Linked DNA regions of Callithrix jacchus. The protein of the gene in region 2 purifies or fractionates together with the protein of the main gene of each other region. This does not show direct contact. Links are inferred from orthologs where the notes say so. Each region holds a gene or a part of one and is shown on either strand. Other genes may lie near its edges.

What was found.
Region 1: the proteins of KPNA4 (region 2) and MECP2 purify together in Homo sapiens (affinity purification with mass spectrometry; 3 studies listed by BioGRID and IntAct, counting the BioPlex papers as one, with this or other methods). This does not show direct contact. The link is inferred for Callithrix jacchus from reciprocal best matches to the Homo sapiens genes KPNA4 and MECP2.

What each region holds. Positions count from the first base shown.
Region 1 is NC_133524.1:150,007,379-150,013,513, forward strand, and holds the start of MECP2 (methyl-CpG-binding protein 2), read right to left. Parts: upstream 3,919-6,135; 5' UTR 3,886-3,918; coding exon 3,827-3,885; intron 3,356-3,826; exon of another isoform or gene 3,195-3,355; intron 1-3,194. UniProt on the Homo sapiens protein: Chromosomal protein that binds to methylated DNA. It can bind specifically to a single methyl-CpG pair. It is not influenced by sequences flanking the methyl-CpGs.
Region 2 is NC_133518.1:24,741,304-24,747,226, reverse strand, and holds the start of KPNA4 (importin subunit alpha-3), read right to left. Parts: upstream 3,670-5,923; 5' UTR 3,380-3,669; coding exon of another isoform or gene 3,311-3,379; intron 2,730-3,310; 5' UTR 2,676-2,729; coding exon 2,592-2,675; exon of another isoform or gene 2,216-2,591; intron 1-2,215. UniProt on the Homo sapiens protein: Functions in nuclear protein import as an adapter protein for nuclear receptor KPNB1. Binds specifically and directly to substrates containing either a simple or bipartite NLS motif.

The DNA.
Region 1 (6,135 bases), on a different chromosome or scaffold from region 2:
GGAGGCCCTGGAAAAGTCACAACTTCTCAGGGACACAAGTTTGTTTCTTTGTTTATAAACTGATGGTGCTAGAGTAAGGATCCTTCTAGTTTTCGAAGTTTAAGATCATTGATTAAGATTTCATGTCAAAAAGAGTCAGAAAATAGAGCAGTTGGTGAAATCTAATAAAGAAAATGCGCGCGCACACACACACACACACACACACACACAAACACAACACCCCTAGCTCTTAGGCAAGGAAGACAAGTGCGTCCTTACTAAGGCTTGGTCCTGTTAGCTTCAGGAGCAATAATGAGAGCCCAGACTACAGTATCTACAGTAACTGCAAAACAGCCAGACACCACAGTAGGGACACATTCACACGCCAACAGACCCAGCATACATATGCCTTAAAGAAGTTATATCAGGCTTTATTCTCTAATGAAACAGTCATTCCCCCTCTAATGTGGGAGTGAGGATGCCCTGACCACCCCACAATTCTGGCTCCCACTCAGTTATCCCACACACCATACATAGCATCAAAGTGGTGGAACCAAAGTATTTAAGCAATAGCAGGCAAACCAAGCTTTTGACAGGAAAAGGTTTTTCGCAAGAGAAAGGCAGAAGAGAACAGGTAAAAGCAGAAGAGCATAACTTCTACTTAAGCAAGCCGAAAGAAAAGGGACCTGTTCACATCTTGTCCTACCCGAATGATGCACACGCACAGGGGCTTGCTGGGACAGCAGGAGTTTCAATGACCAGGGCTAGTATGGAAGCACCGAGGACAAGGCCCTTCCATCGCAGTTGTGATCATGCTCTATCCAAGCAGAAAGGATCACGTCTGCCAGCCACGAGAGACTGGGCTGCATGGATGTCACCAGAGCAGAGGGCAGGAAAACAAGCAGGTGTCCTGCCACACTCTTTGGAACTGGCCAGTCTAGGACTGTGCTTTACCCCCCACACTGAAAACACTGGTTACTAGTAATACCAAACATTTTCGGAGATTCTCTCCTCCTCCGAGATAACTTGGGCATTCTGAGAACAAACTGCTCTTAGCTAATTAAAAGATTTCTGCTGATATTAGCCTTAGTAAAAGATTTCAGGTTCCAGGACACGTCATTTATCATGCAGAGTTCCAAGCAGGCACATTTGCAGTGGAAACCGGGCTCCAGTAAGGTTAAAGAAATGAACTTCTCGTTCCATCTCCACATGGGAGGAATGTTCTGGAGGGACAACATCCTAAATTCATCTAGCCAGTTTTTTTTTTTTTTTTTTCCCAAACTCCACAGCATGCCTCCCTGCCCCGATAGATGAGACTGCACAGAGGCAGGGCAGGCACGGGAAATGACTCGTTGGAAATCACAAACACATACACACAGAATGCAAGCACCCTAACTCTTTGAACACACAGTGGTCTGTGCCTGGCCCCAGACCTACCTCAGGATTTCAACAGCACAAAAGTCAGAATACGGCTGACTGCATGATACTCTCCTACCAATCAGGTGAAACAAAGACCCGGTACTCTAAAGTATTCCAGGCAAAATTTTAATAACAGGCAATAGAAAGGTTTGATAGGCCAGTGCTAACAAGAAAGCCTTCGACATTTTCTTCAAGCCGTTAGGACAATGGAAAGGGAGGTACCCCTCCAACAGGCACCCTGCAGAGAAAACTATACTCTGGAAGCTGCCTGTGCTGTTGAAAGGGCTAGGCGTGTGACAAACAGCTAACTGGAGGGGTACCAGGGAGACAAACTGCCAACTATGAAGAACAAAGCAGAGACCTTAACTTGTCATGTCTCAAGCTGAGATGTACAAACTCTGTGATCATCAAGTGAGGCTTGTGTGTCTGCCTGGGGATGTGACTGTATTCCAGTGATCAGCCACCTAGCTGACCTGCCACGAATGGGTGACCTCTGGTGACTTATTTTAATAACCGTACTTACTACTTCTAGATTGACTGTGTTATTTAAGGTTCTGACATATCCAGGTAAGAAAATAAAAGCAAGTGTTTCCTAGACTCCTGACTGGGATTTGAAACAGAAATCCTGAAAAGCCCATAAATAAGCCTATTTTCCTAAATCCTTGGTGGAAATTCCCAAAAGATGAAAAAATCCAGACCCTGTCTTATTATAGGGACCTAGCATATTTCAAAAGACCCAAGAGGTCAGCTGACTCTGGTTATTAACTGAAATTGCTGAGACACAGATGAACATCCCAGGCACGGAATCCAAAATTCTCTAGAGTGATAATTATCTATGACTGCAATGATACTACCGAGGCCGTATATACTTCATTTTTACAGTATAACAAAATGCCTATAACTTAGAAGAGCCCTTCAATGTTCAGGCCACTCAATACCAGATCCAAGTAGGTTTGGTTCCTCGATTACCAACCAAGCCCTGAATTCGATCCTGTTATCTCAACAGTTTGGGGTACTGATCCCACACAGCATACAGACAACCTGTGAAAGGCTCGGCAGAGCCCATTCTTGTTCCTGGAAAAATAACCAGAAGCACACATCTGCCTGACCATGAGTCAGGAATATCAATTTTGTGGTGGAGCCCATTTCTGCTGTGACCAACCCACACCCGAACACACTCACAACAGAAGCAACCCCCACAGAGCAATTCCAGAATGAGCTTTTTCCCCCTCGGGGTCCATACTTATCAATGTCATAAACGGTCTCCCCTTCGAGAGCAATCCTTTTAAACTCTTCATAATGACCCTAAGTCTTTAGTGCAAAACCACAGAAACATTGCCACTGCCACACAAAAGTCATCTGAGTTTCAGTTTGGGTGATTCGGTCATAACCAAACTCAACAGAGAATAACCTTTCGGGCACAATGAACAGTAGCCACAGCGTCGCGATAAACTTGCCCCATCTCGTACCGGTGATCCGGAGCGCTCCAGGGCGATGAGAGCCCGTTACCTACTATGTCCCACTCCACTTATGTAACTGGAAGATCGCCGGCGAAGGGGGGGTAGGATGGGAGGGTGCTCACATTCCGAGGCCACAGCACCCCCAAAGAACCTCTGAGCACCCTGAGGACACGCTCACACCTAAGAGCCTCAGGCGCCGAAGAGCCTCGGGTGCTGCTGGACGCACAGCACCCTACCCACGGCTCCTGATGGGAACTATAACCACCCCTTTATGATGAGTTGTGGGACCCAGAACACAATGTCTAGTCCCTTTTGTGGACAATAATCCCCACCTACTTGTTCCTGCTAGATGGGGAAAGGAGCCGGCGGACCGACTCGCTCGCAGTGGGGGCAGAAATTCATGGAATGGGCGAGAAGGAGGGGGAGGCAAAGCCCGGAGATGGGGGTGAGAGCGCAGGAGCCCTTGTGGCGCACTCTCCCGACGGGAGGCGAAGTGCGCACGCGCGCCGGTGGGGGGGCCGAGTAACGGGAGAGGGGGCGCGCGAGGGAGGGAGAGGGGAGAGCGCGATCCAGGGAGAGACCGGGGCCGCGGGCGCGCGACGACGCCGCGGCCCAAAGCCCCGAAAAGGGCAGGAGCGCGCGCAGCCCCGACAGGCGAAGCCCCGGCGACAGCGGCGCCCGCGGGGCCGGGGGCCGGGGGCCGGGATGCGCGCAGAGGGCGGGAGAAAGAGGTGCGCCAGGCGAAGGAGGCTCCGGGGAGGCCGCGCCGAGGACGGTCACCCGCGAGCACGGGTGACGGGCCGAGGGGGAGAGTCGCCACCGGCGGAGGGAGGGGGAGGGTACAGAGGAGGGACGCCATCCGCCAGCCGTGTCGTCCGACCCCGCGGGCCCCTCCCGCGCCACGTCCCGCCCCTGTCCCCCGCCCCCCAGCAAGGGTCCCCGCCCGCGGCCACGGCGGTCCCACTCACAGTCTCTCCTCCTCGCCTCCTCCTCCTCCTCCGCTCGGCGCGGCGGCGGCGGCGGCCATTTTCCGGACGGCTTTTACCACAGCCCTCTCTCCGAGAGGAGGGAGCGCGCGCGCCGCCGACGCCGGGACCCCGCACGGCCGACGTCGCGCCCCGCCCTCCCGGCCGGCCCGCGCGCTGCTGCACCTGCGCGCCCGCGCCCCGCCCCCGGCGCAGCTGCGAGCCCACCCGTCATTGGCTGGGGCGGCCGGGTTGGGGCGGGGAGTCTCAGCGGTGATGTCGTCAATTGGCGAGATTTTCTGTCCATTTCGGCCAGGGAAAAGAGGGCAGACCCCTCTAGCTGTTCATTGGCTGCTTTCGGCCGTCGTTTGGGGAAAAGAGGCGGCTTGGGCGCGGAGGGGTTTAGTGGGCGGAATTTGAATGTTAAGGATTAATGGGCCCTTGCGGATGCTGGGGCAAGTGAAGGTGTAGGCTTGGGACGTTGTTTGCGTCCCAAGCAAACCCTCTGTCCGCAGATGCATCGAGTGCGCTGCAAAAGGGTTGCATTGCACCCGCATTTTCTCAATATCACCATCTTCAGCAGAAGCAGCAAAGTTGTCCGCCCTGGAGCCTGACGTTGCTCCAGCTGAGGGGCCTTGGTTTCAGAGGCCTACTCGTTGCATTATTTCATCTGAGCCTGCCGGGTGCTTACGCTCATAGGGGCGGGGAATAAACTGACGACAAATCCCAACCCTGGCCTTCGCAGAACTCTGGCGGGGGAAGAGAGTGCATGCCAAGGCCTCGTGACACCTGTCATTGTTGGATCAGATGGTTTGGTGGAGGTGTGAATAAGGAGCGCAGAGAAAGCTGCACTTAGGTCTTCCTGGAAGATGTGATTTGGGAGCTGAGATCCAGCAGTTTTTCACTTTCCTAGAAGAGTTGATTTGCAGTTGAGATCCAGCAACTGTGTTTTGGGAAAATAAGAGTATAGAAAAAGTGTTAGCCAACCAGGCGTTCAGGACAGGGATGTTTGTTAAGGGGACCTTACCCTGGTGCCAGTCATTATCCAATCCATGCAATGATCTTTGTGTTAGTTCTGTGCTTAGCAAGAAAACCTGGTTCTGATTTGGCTGCCTGCCCCCATTCATTTATTGACTACCTGCTATGTGCCAGGCACTCTTCCAGGTTCTGGGTGCACAGTACTGAACAGACAGCAGACTAACATTCTTGCCGGGAGAGTCATACTAGCATACAAATAAGTCTAATATGTAATTTCACATAGTGATAAAGGCTTCAAGAAAGAAAGTAAGAGTGAAGGGAATGCTGTTTAGATAGCTACTGGTTTTCACCCTCATTTTCCTCCCCCTTATGAATATCTGGGGAAAGAACATTCCAGGCAAGTTCAAAGGCCATGAGGAGAGACTATGCCTGGCATGTTGGGGACTAACAAGGAGGTCAATGTTGCTGGAAAGTGGTAGGGAATGTGATTGGAGAGGCAGCCGGGGCCACTATGAGAATTGGGAGTTTATTCTTTTTTTTTTTTTTTTTTTTTTTTTGAGATGGGGGCTCATTCTGTTGCTCAGGCTGCAGTGCAGTGGTGCAATCTTGGCTCATTGTAAACATCCACCCCAAGCTCAAAGCAATCCTCCCTCCTCAGCATCCTAAGTAGCTGGGACCACAGATGCGCACCACCACACCTGGCTAAGTTTTTGTATTTTGGGGAGAGATAGAGTTTCACTATGTTGCCCAGACTGGTCTCAAACTTCTGAGTTCAAGTGATCTGCCTGCTTTGCCCTCCCAGCCAGAACCGACAGTGTATTCTAACGTGAGAAACCCTCAGAGGATTTTGAGCCGGGAGCTGACATCCTCTGATCTATGTTGCAGGTGTAGAGTGGAGAACTGGATGTGATGTGACAGAACTATGGTACAAGGCTAGTTGCAAGGCCCTGGAACAGTCTAGGAGAGAGAGATGATGGTGGCTTTAACTACAGTGGTAGCAGTGTACCTCTGAGAACTTGTGAGATTCAAGATATATTTTCAAAATTGAACAAAAGGATTGGATGCAAGGCACAGAGAAAGAGAAGAAACAAGGATGACACCTGAGATTGGGGCCTGAGCACCTGGAGGAATAAGGGTGCCTTTCACCATGGTGGGGAGAACTACAGAAAGAGTACATTTTCAGATGTGTAGCTCAAGAGTTCTGCTTTGGCCATATTAAGCTTGGGGTGCCCAGTGGTGTGAAAGTGAAGATTGGGTGTGTGATGCTGAAGTACAGGGATGCAGTCATCAAGCTGAACGTCCAGTTCAAGAAACCATAAAGAAACGACAGAATA
Region 2 (5,923 bases):
ATTACCTATTAATCTTCACAACACTCATGAAGCAGATGTCAAGTACCTCTAGTTTTACAGATGAAAGAACCATAAGACTAAGCAATTTTCCCCAAGGTCATATGCAAAGTTAGTGATCAGATTAAACTAAACTCTAGGACTTTGTACTCTTCATCATTTCTAATCAAATAAACTGTTAGATCAAAATATGCTACAATTAGCTCTCCCTAAATGCTGTTCTCTGTACATGGGCTGTTCCAATATGGCAGCCCCTAGCCACATGTGGCTATTAATCATTTGAAATGCAGCTAGTCCAAGTGGAGGTATGCCATAACTGTAAAATTATGGATTTTGAAGTATAAAAGGAATAATATAAAACGTGTCAATTATTTTACACAAATTAGATGTTGCAATGGTATTTTGGATATAATGGATTAAGTTAAATTCATTGGACAGCACTGGTCTGTACTTCTTTCCAAAGACCTCCCATGGAATAGATGTCATCATGAGATCTAAATGCAAAAGCAATTATTTTCTTGGAATTTGCTTATTCTACATACATTATGTAACACAATGTAGTAACCATACCTAAAGGATGATAAGTTTTTAAAGAGATACAGGCATATATGTAAGTAACAAATACACAAAATAGAGCACCATAGTGCTCTCCAAGTATAAAAAAGGATGCTTCTATCTCATTACAAGTGTACGTGATTTTGAGTAAGTCACAGTGTGGACAATGTAGGACTTTCCATTAGAGTCATATGTTATCTCCTTAGATGGAAAAGTGAAAATATTCCTACTCCTAATGTACACACAAGGATTTCAAAGTCACTGGAGGACAACCATAAGGCACTATGAATTTCTAAAAAACAAAAAAACAAACAAACAAAAAAACCTGGCTGATGTCAATATATACTTATTTTTTAAAAGTCACACATCACAGTATTTGTCTAATACAGACTCGGCACTTAATCTGATTTTGACTAAAGTGCTGACAGACATGCGGTAAGAGGAAACATCAATTTAAAAAATAAGGTTAACTCCAGAAAGCCTAGCAATTCCATAAAAGGTTGAACGTAAGTTTCCAAATGATCTAGCAATTCTATACCTAGGTATATAGCCAAGAGAAATAAAACATACGTCCATACAAAAATGTTCTTAGCAGTATCATGTAAAATAGCTAAAAAAAAAAAAAGTGGAAACAATGAAAATGTCCATTAACTGATGAATGGATAAGTAAAATGTGGTATATCCATAAGCTGGAGGATCATTCGGCCATAAGAAGAAATGAAACACTGATACATTCTTGTTACAACATGGATACAGCTTGAAAACATTACACTATCTGAAAGAACCAGTTACAAAAAAGTACAAATTGTACAATCCCATTTATATAGAATGTCCAGGATAAGCAAGTCTAAAAAGACAGAAACTGGTTGCCTTGGGCTGGGGTAGTTGGGAATTGGAGACAGACTGTTAATGAGCACAGGTTTCTTTTTGGGGTGGTGATAATGTTCTAAGATTGATTGTGGTGATGGTTGCAAAACTATATGAATAAACTAAAAAGCCACGTTAGGTGGGTGAATTGTATCATATGCGAATTACATCTCAATGAAGCTGCTAGAAAAATGAAGCCAGAAATGTAGAGGAAAAAAGGGTTATAGGGATCTGCCAAGCACCTAATTGCTATTTTTCTGGATTCTGTAATTTTGTGGTACTTAGCAGTTTTTAAGTTTCATCATTTGTGATTTTTTCTCATTCTAAGTAAATACGCATATTAATAGAAAACATTTTCACCACATTCTTTCGTAACCAAGTAAATTTACTGAAAATCACTGTTATTTAAGAAGCTAATTTTTATGGTATGTGAATTATCTCAAGAAAGAAGTTATACTTTTGCATTAAAAAAAAAAGGGATCACAACGATAATGTTAACCTTAAAAGAATCACAGAATTAGCAGCCCTGGACACTTAGAAGTCCCTCAAATTATGAAATCCACTAAAACAGCATAAACTACTTTCAAGATAATATTAACAGGTGTCTGAAAAGCCCAAAAAATATTTTAGTCAAGCAAATGCTCATGTTGAGAAACATGCCATGGGAAGTTAAAGATTTCACTACGAAAATGTACCGAGGAACGGCAAAAAAAATACTGCTTGACCACTTTCCCTAAAAGCTAAACTCGTGATTAAGATGCAGAAAGGAAGTAGTTTTTTAAAAAAATCTATTTACCTAAACTCTTAAAAGCTGAAGGGAAGAAGTCTTCTATCAAAAATTTCAGTGGGGTGTGTGGGTATGCTTGTGTGCATGTGTGTTTAACCCATACACTTTACGTAGACTGAGAATCTCGGGAGCAGCTGTATCTAAGACAATGAAGCGTTTTTTTTTTTTTTTCTTTTTAAATAATCAAACGTGATGGTGCCATTCCTTAGCCCACCCCATCCCCCACTACCACCACCAGCAGGTGGAGGGAAAGGATACTGTAGACTAGAGGATGACAGCTTTGTATAACCCTTTGGACTTTATATGTAAGAATGCAGCTGGTGGTCTCCTCTCAGGAGGGGGTAAAGAGATTTGTGGACAAGCTGAAATAAGGGGTATCCTTTGCCTGGAAGAGGGCACACCGTGAGCCACATCTTGAATCAGCTATATCCAGAGTAAAACACAGGCCGCTGGAAGGCACTGTAAGCATCACCAGGATGGCCTCTCACGCCGGGGGTGTTTTTTTCAACGGAGAAGTTGACTCCTGCAGTTTGGATATTGGGGGGAGGCAGGGGTAAAGCGGGAGTCGGGAAGACCAGAAAAAATGCCTTTAAGTGGAGACGCCTCGGGCCTCGCTGAGGAAGTTCAGAGCCCCACTCGGTAGCCACACGCTCACCCTCCCACCCCACCGCCCTCCTTCCCGCGGCGCCAGACGTCGGTGCCCTAGCGAGAGCAGGAATCTCCGCCGCTGCAGGGAGGGGGCCGCGGCCCGGCTGAAGCAGCGCCGGCCGCACACGCAAGCCACCTCCGCACGCGCCGCGCCGCGCCCGGCCTCCCCGCCGCGCGGCGCGGCCCGGCCCCTCGCACCCGCTTCGGGCCGGCTCCGCCGGGCAGGCCTAGGCCGCGTCGGCCGTACCCGGGCACCTCGCTTCCAGGCAGAGGCGTAGCAGGCCCAACATAAACTTCCCGGCGCGTTAGGAGAGGCGTCACGGACGGGCCGGCCCCCAGCGCCATTCCCCGAGGCCCGGAGGCGGCTCCCGCCCCTACTCCCCACACGCGGGGTCCCGGCGGGGACCGGCCCCAGGCCCACGGCCCCCACCCCTCCGGCGTCGTCCCCGAGTTTACCTCCAAGTCGCGGCCTTTGTTCTTGAAATTCTTGAGCCGTTGGTTGTCCAGTTTCTCGTTGTCCGCCATGGCCGGGCCGGTGACTCCTTCCCCCGCCCGGGCCCCGCGGGATCCGCCCCAACCACCGCGCCGCACCGACACTCCCAGGAACCGGGCCGCCGCCTGAACTGCTGTGCCCGCCGCGCCGCCGCTTCCTTCCTCCTCTCACCTGCCTCCGCCGCGGCCTTCTCCTCTCCCCGCCCGCCCCCCCGCCCTAACCCCAGCGCGACTGCAGCTCCGGCAAAGACAACTGTGGGGCCGGGCGGCGGCAACGGCGGCGGAATGTGCTGCCGGCTGAGAGGGGGAGGAAGCCTCGCTCTGAGGGCCCCGGCGCTGCGGCCACGCCCATTGCCTCCAGCCCAGCTCTCCCATTGGCCAACCAGGCTTCGGTGCGTTCGGCCAATCAGAAGGGGCGATGGAGAGCCGAGGCGGAAAGAGCAAACAGAAAGGGGAAGCGAACGAAGCTAGGAGGAGCCGGCTACCGGCCTGGAGGGGTGCGGCGGGGGCAGGCCGGGAAGGACCACGTGCCTTCGGAGAGGCGGGGAGGAAGCGACGGAGAAGTAGACTTTAGGGGAAGCCGGCAAAAGGAAGGAGAGGCCCGGGAACGCGGCAGGGCGAGTTGTTTTGATCCACGTGGCCGGGCAGCCCTAGATGCCAGGGATCCAGGGTCGACGCCGCGTTAAAGTAACGTTCTTTTCTCCCTGGGCGTGCCCTGTCTTCCTGGGCATTCCTTGCTCTCTTCGTTCGCTTTGCAGAGGTAGATCTGAGCTTCGCTCTCTCTTCAGTCGGACACTCGCAGCTCCGTTCCCGGGCAGGGGCTCCCTGCCGTCCTGGGCGGGTATCGGGGCCGGGACCTGCTGGGATGACTCGAGTTGAGGAGGCTCAGCGGAAAGCTACACGGACGGTGGCTGGAAAAGGAGAGGGGCCCATTAGACGAATCTGATTCATCTTCTCTGACTAAGCGCCCGCAGCAGGTAGGAATTTAGAAGAGCTGGTGATTCTGGGACAATAGCACTTCCTAGATAATTCCTCTTAGAAAGTTAAAGAAGCTGCTTGACCACAAAGTATGAACTTCTGGAGGGCGGGGCCCGTGGCAGCTGACAGGGAATATTGTGACTGTTGAAAAAGGTAATGCACTCCAAGGATACCAGGGACATCGTTAGCAGAGGCAGAAATGACATGAAATACGAAAGAACGTATTCAAAAATGTCAGAAAACAGAAATGGAAAATTATTTTAAAATATATTTAAATATCAACGAATAACACCTCAAATGTACAGAGAGAGGTAAAGAAGCTATTCAGGTTGGAAGCAAGGAATCGAGGCGTTGCGCGTGTTTAAACTTGGCGAGATAGGGAGAAGACAGCCTGATACAAACTCCTTCAGAATCTTTGACTCCCGGTCCTTTCTAGTATTAAGTAGAACAACGTGCAGAGATAAATGTTTAAAATGCAGATGTTCCTTAAGGAAACACTTTTTAAGCCTAAAGAGGGGATTTTAAAATTAAAATGGAAGAAGTCAGTGGGTTTAACACATATAAACAACTGAGTTTCCTTTGGGGGAGAGGCAATGAAAAGAGCTGGAGTACTTTAGGAATCACTTTGGAGAGGATATTGTAGTGGGGGAAAGGAAGGTAAAAACTTAGGAAGCAGAGTGGAAACTTTAAAGTCCTCAGTACTTTATATGCCATCAGCTGGGCTGTGGCAAACAAGCTGTGCCTGGAAATAACTCACACTGAAGGTTGACTTGAATATAAATTCAGTACAGATCTTAAATACAAATGACATTCCATTAGAAACTGTTACTCCTCAAAGACTCATTTAATTGAAGTAACATTGTATTTACAAACCAGAGCACTAATGTTTTTCAAAATGAGTTTAGGATAAGAACATTCTCTTGAAAAGCTGGAATGTATGTGTATTATGTTCCATCATAGATTTTATCATAAGCAGTGTTCAAGAAAACAAATTACCAGTGAATTCCCACCTTATGAATAAAAGTTATCTTGTGAACATGTCAATAGATGAATATTTTGTACTTGGAATAAATTTCATGGTAGCGTTCATGATGAAGTTTATAGAAGTATCTGTTATATGTCTTCATGTCTCCAGCTACAGGCAGAAGACTCCTAGAAAAGGGCTGTGATTAGTTACCAACTGAGAGAGATGCAATATAAATAGGAAATAACTGCAATTTATAATTTGATTTGTTTATCTAAAATCTGCATTCCTCCCTAGACAGCAAGCTCTCTGAAGTCAAGAACCATACTTGTTTTGTTCACTACTTTATACCCAACACCTCATAGTACTTGGCACATAAATACTCAGGGACTATTTGTCAAATGCAAGAGTGTATACCCCTAAAGAGGTATACATGAAGCTGGAGACATGAAGACATACAACAGGAAAATCAGAAAAAAATGCCTTTAAGTATTAGAGAAATGCCGCAGTCCTCCACTTAAATTGAAAAATAAGCTAACACCTCTTGATAAAAATGTGGATTGAGACCAAGCAGCAGCTTCTCCCCTCCTTCTGGAATGTCTGCCTTGTTCAGCCCGCCTGCCTCCACTCCTGCC